2 linked regions of the Arabidopsis thaliana genome follow. The protein of the gene in region 2 interacts with the protein of the main gene of each other region in a biochemical or structural test. Each region holds a gene or a part of one and is shown on either strand. Other genes may lie near its edges.

The links. The genes of interacting proteins can lie anywhere in the genome.
Region 1: the proteins of RIN4 (region 2) and ROC1 form a complex in vitro, tested with the Arabidopsis thaliana proteins (one study listed by BioGRID).

What each region holds. Positions count from the first base shown.
Region 1 is NC_003075.7:18,082,663-18,088,481, forward strand, and holds ROC1 (rotamase CYP 1), read right to left. Parts: upstream 1,590-5,819; 5' UTR 1,477-1,589; coding exon 958-1,476; 3' UTR 733-957; downstream 1-732. Other genes in the region: AT4G38760 (nucleoporin (DUF3414)), read right to left, coding at 2,371-2,453, 2,593-2,800, 2,917-4,458, 4,899-5,280, 5,477-5,535, 5,642-5,749. UniProt on the Arabidopsis thaliana protein: PPIases accelerate the folding of proteins. It catalyzes the cis-trans isomerization of proline imidic peptide bonds in oligopeptides. Involved in de-etiolation.
Region 2 is NC_003074.8:9,127,609-9,136,126, reverse strand, and holds RIN4 (RPM1 interacting protein 4), read right to left. Parts: upstream 3,990-8,518; 5' UTR 3,670-3,989; coding exon of another isoform or gene 3,664-3,669; 5' UTR 3,237-3,663; coding exon 2,775-3,236; intron 2,697-2,774; coding exon 2,514-2,696; intron 2,410-2,513; coding exon 2,380-2,409; 3' UTR 2,039-2,379; downstream 1-2,038. Other genes in the region: AT3G25060 (Tetratricopeptide repeat (TPR)-like superfamily protein), read right to left, coding at 5,806-7,611; XTH3 (xyloglucan endotransglucosylase/hydrolase 3), read right to left, coding at 7,909-8,290.

The DNA of each region.
Region 1 (5,819 bases), on a different chromosome or scaffold from region 2:
TTAGCCAGTAGCCATCCGTCCGCTTCTTCATTTCTGTTGTTAATCAAATCTTTAATCCTTGTTTATTTATAGTTGTAAGATGAGTTTTTTATATTCTACGAAAACTGAGTACACAAACGTGAAATCTTCCAAAAAATGAAATTTGTGTTAGCAAGCAAATAAATCACAGCAGCTATACTATTTTCATTTTTGGCTTTCACACGTATTGGCTTCCCTCACAATTATTTTATTCTGAAATCGTAATTAAAGGCATATGCGTCCCTGCTGGCTGCATATAAATATGAGATTCAGTCTTCTCTGAAACATTTATTTGATTTGGTAATTGGTATGTCATCAATCATTCATCACAGTCTCCAGAAAAATCGTGTGGATTTTAAAACTGGTTTGGGGCCTGATTTGATGGGCCGGCCTTCAGGTGGAAAATTTTCGTTTTCATATAATAGTGAGTACGAAGGCAATTATATTTGAAGGCCCACTAAAGTTGATCTTATCGACAAACCCGTGATTTAAACAAAAAAATAGGCCCACTGGTATTGTTTATTATTATTGCCATTAATTGGGTTTTCTAATTTGCTTCTCTGCAGAATCACGTGTGTTACTTTTTTAGACCAAGACCTTGTGGTGGTGTAGCCCCTCTGCGTCAACGTGGATCATAACGTCGTCCACCATTAATTAGATAGGTGAACAAAAACTCGACCAAGTATTTTTATCTGTTCCAACGGAAATGCAGATAACAAAGATGAAATTTGGTAACGTAAATTAGATATGATAAAAGAGTGCTCATTCCTTATTTCTGGTAGTTAATATTAAAGGGGCAAGTTTATATATGTTCCCATGAGAACACACACCAAACTTATGACTACAAATTTTAAAAAGACTCCATAACAAAAGCAAAAGCATAAAGAGACACCACAATGACGACGATGATGCTAAATTAAGGATGATGATAGGAAGATCCTAAGAGAGCTGACCACAATCGGCAACAACCACAGGCTTCGTCGGCTTTCCAGATGATGATCCAACCTTCTCGATGGCCTTTACCACGTCTAAGCCTTCCACGACCTGCCCAAACACCACGTGCTTCCCATCAAGCCAATCGGTCTTCACGGTGCAGATGAAGAACTGAGATCCGTTCGTGTTTGCACCGGCGTTCGCCATCGACAGGATCCCCGGTCCGGTGTGCTTCCTCTCGAAATTCTCGTCCTCGAACTTGCTCCCGTAGATCGACTCACCGCCTGTTCCGTTCCCGGCGGTGAAATCTCCTCCCTGGCACATGAAGTTAGGGATCACACGGTGAAACTTAGATCCCTTGAAGTGAAGGGGTTTTCCGGTACCGCCAACACCTTTCTCTCCGGTGCAGAGAGCTCTGAAATTCTCGGCAGTCCTGGGAGTCTTATCGGTGTACAGCTCCATCACGATCCTTCCCGCGGGCTGGCCGTCGATGGTCATGTCGAAGTATACCTTAGGGAACGCCATTCTTGTTGTTTGAAACGTGAGATCTCTATCAGACTGAAGAAGAGGTTTGTTGTGGATGATGAATAGAGGATTTATCGGTGAGGTTATCGATTTATAGCCGGCCAAGGGGAAGCGGCGAATATCTCACAGATAAACAAGATTATTACATGTGGGAAAATCTCAACGGCTTTAAGATCTTAACCGTGGTTAGGTTAAGAGTTTGACCACCGGTTAAGTAGGGGTCAGTCAGTCAGTGCGTTGGAGTATCTCAGACTTGGCATATGCCCCTCCTGGAGCAACGTGCCACACGTGTCCCACAATTTCTAAACAACTTGCTAAAAACAACGTCTTTTAATCTTAAAAATTAATTTTATTTACTGTCAGTTCAAATTCAAAAAAATTGAACCGTTAAACTTTAGTAGTAACGCATACTATATGCATGACTTTCAATTAACACTATCAATGCTTTGCGCAATAGTCCACCCCTCATAAATGTTAGCTGTAATGAGTGGTTTTCTTTTTAGGGTTAAATTTTTCCTCATAGTAAGTAAACGTGTTCAAGAGTAGAGGGAATTCAAAAATCAGAATAATCTAGAATAAGTGATTATCAAAAGTTAGTTGAGTGAGAATTATTCGGAACTGCACTTTCTGCGGCCTAGAGTCAGAGAGAGAACCAATCAAAAGAATTTGTTGAGAGGTAAGCAATTTAAAAAAATGAAAGCAACGAGCGGCCCAAAAGGAGTGGACAGCATGAGCCGAACATTTTTTTAAAGCTATGATATGAAATAAAGAGAATAATACTATTATATGACTAACATATACCAATGGTACAATAGCCGGTTTAATCACTCATCAAGGAAGGAATCTAATACATACGTACCACATTCAAGCATGGTCCTCATGTTTGTTTTGTTTCTAAAGTGATCCAGGATACAGAAACGCAGCTATTTTCTTCAGTGAATCTATGGACGGTTCTAAGTAGGTATGCACCTCAGCAGCTGATCGAGACAAAACAAAAGAAGCAGCAATGTTACGAAACCGTTTTCACTTTTTCCTTGCAACTAAATCGTATTTTAAAAAAGGCACCAAATCCCAAAATAGTCTTGTCAATATTACTATGGAAGAAACACTTGTTACCTTTCACTAGTTTTTTCAAGTCTTTGGAGAAGTTATCCACACGCCCAAATACAGGATGGATCCTGCAAACCTGAACTACACAGAGTTCCAAGTATAACGACATCTCTGTCGTTTGGATCAGCATAAGGCACAACTTCTTTACTTCATCTGGAATCTCTTTGGATTTGTAATTATCACATAGCTCAGCGACTATCGCCGTCGCTTGGTCCTGCATTTTAATATACACATTGTAGTACCAAGCAAAGAGAGGATGATTAAAAAAAAAAAAAAAAAAAAAAAAAAAAATAGAAACCAGTAACCGTTCTTGGTCTCGAATTAACGTACCTGTAGACCATGTAAAATCTCCGGCTCTGGAAGCTCAGGGAAATGAGCAATATCGACATATCCCACTTCCTCTGCCCTCGTAACAACACCCTCTGCTTGTAAGCACAGAAATTTCAACAATAGAGAAGCCACTCTATATATCTGTATCGCAACTGAGTCTGAAAATTGCGATTGAGGAACAGACCCAGGATGTTCTGTTGTGTCTCCCCTAACAACTAGAGCAGTCGAGATAGATACTGCAGTGATCTTGGGTTTCCCAACACAAACTAAAGGTGCTAGCGAAAACCATCCGTGTTTGGTATTGATGAAAGACGGTCTTTTGCAGGAATCAAACTCTTCTTTCGCTACTGGAGGGCATAACAGATGAGATATGTGGCTCTGAGACTCTCTAAGCCGTTGAGCGCCTTTGCTGATAAAGGCCAAGAGATGTATTGTCATTTCTCTTAATGGAGAATCCATATCCTTCATAATTTTAACCCATGATCTCCAATGGCTAGCTAATGCACACAGCAGAAGGAGAGTATGCTCGGTTACTCTCAGATAAGCAAGGGAAGTCCACGTCCGTTGACTTCGTAGCCTCACTTTGTCACGATCATCAGAAGGGAAATCTGGTGCAGCGAGATAGTATGAGATCATGTAACCTTTCTCCAAGAAAAAGTAAGATATGACACTCTCCACAATATCAGCCCCTGCAGAAACAGATCCTAGAGAATGAACCATGGCAGTAACCACAGCCAAACCGATTCCCCAGATATGCTGAGTTTTTTCTGTCTTTTCTAGCAGCGAGCCCTTTTCATTGTCAGATACCAAAGTAGACATTCCATCCGGAAACTCCATTAACAAAGCTCTTAAAGTCGAGAAAAATCCAGAATTTAGAAGCATCTGAGCACCGCCATGAACTTGAGCAATAGTTAAGAAAAATTTTAGTATTGCTGAAACGGATGTTGTGGATTTCTTATCCTGAAGCTGTAGAATAACATGCTGCAAGCGGAGTTGACTCTGTATAATAGGGAACCATGTCTCTGGCGTCAAAAAATTCCTGAGAATCAAGTCTACTGTGGTCAGGCAGAGAGTCAAGTACTCGGGATTCCCCATGAAGTTGCAGAGAAGGGGTAATAATCCAATTGTAGCATCAGATATTTCTGCAAAATCTTTGGCTAGCACCATATGTCCCATCCCACTCGAGTTTGAGTTGTCTGAACCAAAACCCACAACCAGGAGCAGCACCTCAAGCAGGAGGTTTATCGTCTTCTTCAATATAGCATTTGAATGCCTCAAACTACCAAGGATCTTGAGGCCAGGCCCAACATTTCTCAGGACAAGTGCACATACAGATAATGAAAGATTTTTCTTTGCGGATTTCAATAGGCGGGATAGCAAGTCTGCCTGTGCTGTAAGAATATCAAACACAATCTTGGGTGCATCCCAGAGAGAGGCAAGTGAATCAACCGTGGTGCAAAATTTTCGGCATACTTTATCAATGCTTAAAAGAGTGACTCGAGAAGGGATTTTCCTTTCCGCAGCTGCACTTTCTTCAAGAGACTGCACATAAGGTGTAGCATTTAGATGTACCGAAATCTTAAATTAAGATCCCAAAAGTGGGACATACAACATTTCTACCGTCTATATTGGAGTACATAGGCCAGTTTAGATTAATTCTATTTGTTCGGTTTAGTATTGGTTAGATCTTATACCACACTTGTATATAACAGAGTAATTGTACAGTGTAATCATTAGAACTTTCTCATTCATCTTAATGATTACACTGTACAATTACTCTGTTATATACAAGTGTGGTATAAGATCTAACCAATACTAAACCGAACAAATAGAATTAATCTAAACCGGCCTATGTACTCCAATAGTCTAGTATGTTTGAGTCAGCTATTAGCTAAAACGTTAAATGAGGAAAAACAATCTAGCCCATAAATGTATTATGATGGGATAAACTCAGAAAAGCTAATTAAAACAGAGAAACTTACATTATCCTCATAAAGTATCAAGACGGAAATCAATGCATGCAAAACAGAGAGCTGCGAAGTTGAGAGTAAAACCATCGAGTTTGCTCTCTGCATGTAGTTCAACATTTCCTCTGCCGTTGTTTTAGATGTCTTCCACTCAGAGAAATCCCAAATATCAATACCTAATTCAGTCTGTATTTGCTGAGTGTCAAACAAACAGTCCCCCAAAGCCATATTTACATCCTTATTAGTTTTCTGTTTATATTTCTCCCAAAAGCTCGTCTCCACTAGAAACTGGAAAAGCTCTTTGAAAGGACCAGTTGGGATATCACGACCCTCAAGTTTTCCTTGAAGATGACAGTATAGATCGCTGAAAATCATAGGCATCAACTCCTTTCCTCCACTAGAAATAGAACCCAATAGATTGTAAGCAAAATGTGAAACAGTGGTAAACCTTTTGAATAACATGAGAACGAATAATTAAAGATTAAGGAGAAGCACTGCCGACTGTAGATTTAAGAAAGATAAATGTGCTACTGAATTTGAAAATTAGCAAAGAAATGCTGGAAAAGCAAAAATGTAAGAAATAATGGTCTTACCTATAACCAAGTTTTGAATATTGCGCCAACAACTCAGAAAAAGCAGGTTGAGCACAAAGCTGTCAGCATATTGTTAAACAAGCAACAGATTCAGATATGACAAGGCCTTGAAAGGTGTATTGAAAAGACCAAAGATATAGATCGATCCAAAAGAGAGGAACTTACAGTTTCTGATATGAGTTTGATCTTCTCAACTAAAACCATAGACAATGCTCCTGCGCCAGATGTTTCCAGTTTCACAATCAAATGCACAATAAGTAAAACGGCAGCAACCTATCAATGCAGAAAATGAGAAACATTTAAAACTTCTAATTACTATTTCTGAAATATGGAGGCACCTAAG
Region 2 (8,518 bases):
ACGACTTTTATCAAGGAATTTTGATCAATAACTCAATATATATGTGTGTAGACTAAGATGTAAGATGTTGATATAGAGAGACATTTGATATGATACAATGGCACATATATATGAGATTCTTGATGTTTGCAATTCTCACTTGATGAGCCGGATTTTTTTTTAAAAGAAAATTTGTTTTATCATTTTTTTAAACTCAAATTAAAGAATTTTCAAAAATATTACGTTGAGACTTAAGTATGACTTTCTTTTTAACTTATGTATTTGTTTTTATTGTAATTGTCTTAATCCTATATTTATTTGTTTGTATATTTTTTGCCATTCTTTTTGTTTTTTGGTTGTATACCCGTTTCGATGCATCATAATAGCATTGCTTTACTCTTTCTATGTGTATAATTAGCATGAACCGTAATGATTTTATGAGATTAGTCTCAAATTACAAAGTGCAAAATGTGTTCGCCATTATTACTAAGGAAAAAGTTTTGAGTACTAAGAATCCAAAAGATAATCAAAATCTAATTAGCCATTTTTTTCCTCTCATCTCCTGCAAAATATTACAACCTCACAAGTTTTGATTACCGATTAAGAAATATTCTATAACAACACAATTTTGCCTTACGTTTATTTTTTTGACCAACTAGAGTTAGCTTTATTTCAAGATTGACATCAATGTATCCACCATTACCAAATTTCAATTTGTTACCATTTTTGCAAATTACCACCTTTGCCTCATAGGTTATTGTAAAGTCAATAGTAATTTTATACAATTCCGCATCTCGAGTAGAATGCTGGTACCCCCATGTAGTTTTGCATACATCAATCCGTTAACTATGTTTTGTCCAAAGCAACAATGTACACCATTCATAGCTTCCATAGTTTTGCATTCTTATCTTCCAACAACTTTTCATTCTTAGCTTTGCAGTCATTTAATGTAGTTAATTCTCGACGAACACTGCGCCACAAATACATCGGAGAAAGTGGAACAAACTCACTGTCCAATCCATGTAATACTCTAGCTGAACTAATCAAATCATTGGACACATATGTCCAACATATTAAATGGCTCATTTGGTTTCGAATCAAACCTCCAAAAATTCAATCTTATTATGTTTTCTACATCTACTATATACTTATCTAATGGGTCTTTCGTATATTGTAACAAAACCAGGTAGTCATTACAATCATATTAGGATCATATCAAATATGAATTAGGATTCAGCCCATTCACCTTCTCTTCAAAATCATCAAGCGAGATTCTGAGTGGTATGCAACGAGATTAATGTTTCAAACTAGAATCATAAGCTTTCTTCGCATGTTCCAAATCACTAAACCGTTTTTCAAGCTAACCAAGTATCAACCAAAGCTTGAAGAATGGTGGTTTAAAAATTCATTTGATTCTGGAATAAAATATAAGAGTTTAGACTTTATTCGGTTATTTTTAGATTTTTTTTTTTAATTCTTAAGACTTAGAAGATATTTTAGATTTTGACAAAAATCTCACAATACCGCCTAAAAAAACGAATGGAATGGTGATAGAGACAACCGAGATTAGTTGTTTTGAATTCGCGATGTTTTATTATTTTATTTTCGTCATTACTCCTACTATTTTAGTATATGTTACTATTTTAGACTTTTAGTTAGATTTAAATATTTAATTACTTTATTATTATTGTTAGACCATGGTATAATTATTTTTATATTTATATTTATACAAACTAATAATTTCTATAATATTAAATAAATTTTAATCAATTGATCCGTGGTCGAATCCGGTTGATCCATTGACCCCGTGACCTAAAAAGTAGTCTAGTTCACCATCCAGGTCGGGTTTAAAAAGATTGCATTTAAGTCTAATTATTGGGCATAGAGAATGCTGAAATAGTAAGTACATAAAGCTGGAGAATCAAACCTGATTACACTGTACAAAGCCATATAGGAAACAAGTGTCAATTCGTTCTTCTTTGATGTCCATATCATATGGACCATACGAGTCATCATCCTCCAAAGATCTTAATCTTGATTTTATATAAAAAGTTATGGGTCTTTCTTTATAGTGGTGCAGAGTTAAGGCTTTGAACATTAGAAACAACAAACTTGGAGGTACCCAAATATCTCTGATTCATATCAAATCAGTTACCAAATCACTCAGGCCGTACCAAGCAAGATATAATGCATCTGCAAGCAGATCCGAAACTGGAATGTGTCTTATGAAAACACCAAAAGTATTAAGGAAGAATTGCAAAATATACATACAAAAATTATACTATAAAAATCTTATGCAAGTGAGACTTATGCCTTATTTCATCTAAAGAAGCACGAATGTCTAATCATCAAGATTACACACTGATTTCTCGATAACTATATACAATCTTCCGGTCCCTTTCATTTTCCTCCAAAGCCAAAGCAGCAACACTGTCAAATTGCACAAGACAAACCAATGTTCAACACACACTCACTATTTGAATACGTATTCACTAATGATTATACTTGAAAATGAGTTTTAAAGAATGTCTTACTGAGGAAGTGTTGTTCGGGTTACGGGAGCTTTGATGAGTCGGCGTTCTTGAAGATCCACTCACATTTGCTCCAGAACTTCTCTCTTCACGGACTTTATTGAAGATATGCGTGTATCCGTCAGCTGATGACGGGTTGTTCTCGTCCCAGTCACCGAATTTAGGCACCACTGTGACTTTTTCAGGCTATATATAAACAGATGACAACACATAAGCAACAAACAGAGATATTCTCACTTTAGAGGTTAAAAGTGAGATTCTTACACTTTCATCAGCTCTAAGGTTGGTAGGTTTAGGCCTAGATTTTCCAGTACCATCATAAGAATTCTTATGCAAAGGTGACTTGTTGTCATAACTATTGTTCTGAGAAGCTCTTCCTTGTCTTTTGTTAGCAGCTTCATTTGATGAACCACCAGCATCACCAAACTGTTTCAACTCGCTCTCTTCTCGGCTTCTCATATGCTCACGTGATCTTCTAACCGTGTCAACTTGCTCAGGTTTGGTTCTGGAAGAAGGAGGATGAGGAGGAGCTTGTGATTGAGAGTCAGAGTTATACTCCGGGTCATTCGGGTTCATGATCTTGCTACCGGGTGCTCGAGTCTTACGAGCTTTGTCAAAGTAAGCTGTGTAAGGAACATTCTCCTCAGCTTCCCAGTTTCCAAATTTTGGTACATTCGAACGCTGTTGCAACAAACAATTCAACAACAATGTCCTTCCACAAAACATTCAATAACATAACATCCTAAAGAACAATCATCACAGAAACAAGATAGCAAATTCACTTAAGAATCCAAAACAGAACAAATACAAATTGGGTTTATCGATTTCGACCAAGTACAATGATAAAGTTGAAATCTTTGCTAAGCAAAAATAGAAACTTTACCATAAAAATAGTAACTTTCATAAAACCCTTTTCTTATCTAAAGCAAATCAGAATCATAAAGTTGAATACTAATAGACATCGCAATCCATAGAAATGTTATCTCAATAGGAAGAACCATAAATGCAAATAGATTAAGACTCAACTTTCTACAAATCCTCCAAAAAAAGGGTCAGAGATTGACGGAATCGAAACAAAAACTATAATCTGAGAGAAAGCTCTAGACCTAAATAAGAAGAAGAGGAGAAGGAAAGAAGGAAAGAAAACACTTACTGCCATGGGAGAGAGGTAGCTAAAGAATTGAAGTCTGAAGCTTTTGTTAGGTTTGAGAGAGAAAGACAGAGAGAGATGTGAGAAGGAGAGGAGACGAAGAAGAAGTTTTATAAAAGCGTTGACTAGTGGTGATGCTATGTATTCTTTGACCCTTCCTCTCCTCTCTCTAATCTTCTCTTCTCTCTTTGTCTCACTCCAAACTCTATTAATTTCATTTCTTAACTCTATTACTAAATTTTCATGTATTGTCAAGAGCACTCAAACGCCGTTACCGTTACCGTCACCGTTAAAGGCGGCTTTATTTTGGTGTCCATGTTACATTGTTTTCCTCTTAAAAGATTGTAATAAATATTTTTGTCCTAAAGAATTGGATATGTGGGTCGGAAGCAACTTTTGGTGGAATCTTCTGCTCTAGTAGATAAGTTTTGTGGATCTAATAATTATATGCTAATAGAATAATTTGATTATTGATAGCAACAATGTTACAATGTTATAGCAGAATTTAGTGAATTATTGATCTTGGATTTTAGCGGATTAATGAGTAGTAATAACTGAAATTTCTTTTGGTGACGATTGGTACCAATTCGTCTATAGATAGGTTACCATTTGAATCAACTACTTGCAATTTTTGTGATACAAATAGTACAATAACTATTTTTACAAATATCGCCATTTAACGCTAGTACGTATACTTTTATTATTTACACTCATAGTTTTTTTTAGAGAAAACTTAAAAGTGTTTTGTGAAGAGTACTACAAAGTGATAGTAAGTAAATAAAAAGTGTTCTACGAGTACAAGGAAAAAAAAAAGGCAGTATGAACAAAATAGTTAGAAAACTAGAAATGAGAAAGTTATCATCAAAGGTGGTTGACCACAACTACCTAATCTCTTTTTGATCTTAGTTGATGTTTAAGGTTTTAGCACACTAATCAAGAAACTAATTAAATGATCAATTGTTTCTTGGTTTTCACATTAAAACATCATTTATAAAACTCAACAAAATTATTCAACCAATAACAAAAGAAAGAATTGAAAATGTTTATGAGAAATTGAGAATATTAACTTCTGAAAAGAAAAAGAAAATAATCATATGGAGACTTTTTGTGTTAGCAAAGTCAAAGCTGCCTCTTTACACTGAAAGACCCTTTTGAGAATTTACGTACCTCTTTCTTCCAAGAACAAATAACATGTCTCGTAGCATCTATTATCGAATCACCAATGACAATAAGATGTTCACTAAAAACCATAATTGGAACATTATTTTAGTAATTTTTTACTAGACAAAGTTGAAAAATGGAAAGTATTCAGCGTTGTTCACATCAATTTATTTGTGGTTGCCGTAGCGATAATTATTCAATGCTCCCGTACTCATACACACGTGAACTATATAGTCCACACGTACAAGTGTTTTCACATGGTTAATGCCTTAATGGGAATATTTTAGAGATTGTTCACGAAAAAATAAGAAAGATCAAATCAAAGAAGACAGATCGTTCAGCTTCATCAGTTTCTCAACGTGAGTGTGTCTTTTTATTTTTTGTAGTCAAGTGATATGGTTAGTTAAGACTAAAGACAACTAAGAGATCGTGTGCATTCTTAATTCTTTTGGTGTTATTTAGTTTTGGAGCGTTACTCTATTTTTGGGACATACAACAATCCACCCCAAATCAAGTTTATTTTATATAAATTGGTCCACGACGGATTTCTTCTATTTGTCTCAATCCATACTCTTACGGACTATAATATATAAAATGGTTCAATCCGCAAACGAATTTGTCCGCCACAACCATACAAACCAGTGTCACAAAGCCACAAAGGTAAGGGTTTCTCAATACATTATTTAAGGGGTTTATCACTCTCTTAGTCTCTTTAATAAGTCTCAATTCTTAAGTCTCTTTCACATTTGTCAATTAACTTGAATTTGCACTTTGGTACTCTGCTTTTCTCAAAGGGACCAAGAACCTCTTGGTATTTTCTTCTCACTAAAATTGAAATTGACCCGGTTTGGTTTTCTTGTTCAACGCGTGGAATGTATTGTTAGAGTTTTTGACTAAAACCTCACTCCAAAATAGGGCCACATGAGTCAGAAATGGATGTATATATACATACTGAAATAAGAATGGATGCTCATAGAGACAGAACTATTCGACTCCGGAACATACATCTCTTATCTCAGTTTTCAAGTTCCTCAACACTTGCAACATGTGATAATGTTCATGGTGACTCAGATCTTCCATGAGAAAAGTTCGAAGCTCCCCATTTACTTCGATCGCGCTGTAGCCTGGTACCTTCTCCATGGCCCCATTTCTCATCAACTTCCTCACTTTGGCCACTTCTTTCCACTTATTGGCAGTTGCAAAGAAGTTAGAAACCAGTGTTTGGATCCCAATACTATCCGGATTCAACTGGAGAATCTTATTAGCCGCAATGTCCCCGACTGATAGATTCCTGTGATTAATGCATCCTGAAAGAAGAGCAACCCATATTGGTAAAGCATTGTCAAGTTTCTCAGAGTTTATCATATCAAGAGCTTCTTCGACTCTCCCTGCACGTGCAAGAAGATCAATCAAACAAACGTAATGCTTTTCACTCGGTTGGATCTTATATTTGTTTATCATGACGCTGAACCAATGTTGGCCTTGTTCTACGAGACCCGAGTGGCTAAGAGCAGAGAGAAGTGATGCAAACGTGGCGTGGTCGGGTTCTATGTTTGATTCCGTCATTTTGAGAAACAACGATACAACTTCTTGACCGTTTCCATGAATTCCATAACAAGATATCATTGTGTTCCAACAAACCAAGTCTTTCCTTCCTACATGTTCAAAGATTTCTCTTGAACTTGAAAGAGCGCCACATTTTGAGTACATGTCCATCAAAGCAGTTGCGGTTACTCGATCAAGAACGTGCCTTTTCAAAATATAACAATGTACTAATCTACCAGTCTTTAATGACCCGACTTGCGAACACGCCACAAGTACTCCAACAAGCGTCACTAAATCCGGTTGAAACCCAAGGCTCTGCATTTCCACAACAGCTTCAAATGCTTTATTAGCTAATCCATTTTGAGCAAATCCAGAGATCAACGACCCCCACGAAACTGCGGTTTTAAACATCATCCTACTAAACACCCTAGAAGCAACCTCTATAAACCCAACTTTTGCATACATATCAACCAGGCTGGTTTCAACCACTACATTCATAGGAAGACCTGTTCTATACAAATACCCGTGAACCGAACGGCCCATTTTCGTATCCCCGAGATCACCAGAAGCTTGTAAGAGACCCAACATCACAACCCTATCCCTACCAAACCCTTCATTCTGCATTTCTCTGTAAAACTCAACAGCCTTCAACGACTTACCAGCCTGTGCAAACCCTGTCACCATTGTTGTCCAGCAAATAACATCTCTTTTCGCCATCTTTCCAAACAAAACCTCTGCTTCATCCATTTTCCCACACTTCATATACAGATTCAAGACAGATGAACAAACAAAGACATCATTTTTATACCCAAAGTCCACTGCTTTACACCACACAGCCTCTCCTTTCTCTAAAACCAAACCACTTAAGCACGCTTTGATCGTCATAGTGAACGTTGAGCTATCTGGTTGAATTTTTTCAGCTATCATCTGATCATAAAGTCGCAAAACCTCATCTGGATTTTTTCCACGAGAATAAACCACAATCATGGAATTATAAACAGAAACACCCCTCTGCGGCAATTCGTCGAACACCTTACGTGCATAAGAGATCTCACCGATTCGTCCACATGAAGCGATGAGATCTCGACTAATAGAGCTTCCATTAAGTAAATTACCAGTACTGATTACAAAAGCGTGGATCTGAGTGATGTGCCGCTTGAGTTTAGAAATGGATTGCAGAAATTTGATGCGTTTCGGACACAGGAGAGTCCGATGTAACATGCAGAAATGTTTTGTCTGTACCATGATGTTTTAATTCTTAGAGCTAACTTCTTCAAAAACCAATTTGATTTGGCAAACTGGAACCTACCGTCCGGGTAAGGCACTTAAACGAGAACCGAAAAATTAACTAGTTAAGAAACATATCTTATTTATCTTCTGCAATCATATAAAAACATTTTGAGCATACACAATTATATTTTCACTATAACTTAACTCTCTTCTCTTGTAACTCGTAAGCAGTAATTTTTTTGTTTCTTAATTAGAAAAAGTAGATTTAAAAATCCCCTATACGTATATGATAATTAACGTATATATGTTACTTCAATAACATTCTCTAGGAGGAGTTTGGTACTTAGAGCGATCAGTACAATAGTCATAGTTCATGTACTTGCTCCTCACATGTTCATAAAGTTTCTGTTCGTTTCCGCTTAATCTTTGATAGTTGCCTGCATTCCACCAGTAGTTGGAGGATTCACAAGCGCCGACATTATTACTCCGACCATCTATGTTGCAGCCGGATAAGGCGAAGTCTCGGAAATGTGCAATGAAAGGAGAGTATGACCAGTTAACCTTAGTCCGACCACCATCAGTCGCCCAATCGTCACCGTTCCAGAGACTAGCCTCGACTTGCATAGGCTTTGATGGATAACTTACGCCGTTTTCGTTTTTGTATACTCTTATTGGGATGTTGTCCACGTAAAACCTATCAATCATCATCATCATCATTTACCTCCCTTGATTATGATATACTTAAAATCAAATATTTTCTCCATTTCAAATTAGATGCTTTTTTAGTTGAATATATATAAATATATCTAAAAATTTCCTAAAATGATGACTAAAATGTACGTCACCCATATCAAATTGTGAAATGTTTTGGAATTCTAGTTTGTTTCAAAATATCTAATTCTTGCATGCATATTACATACAC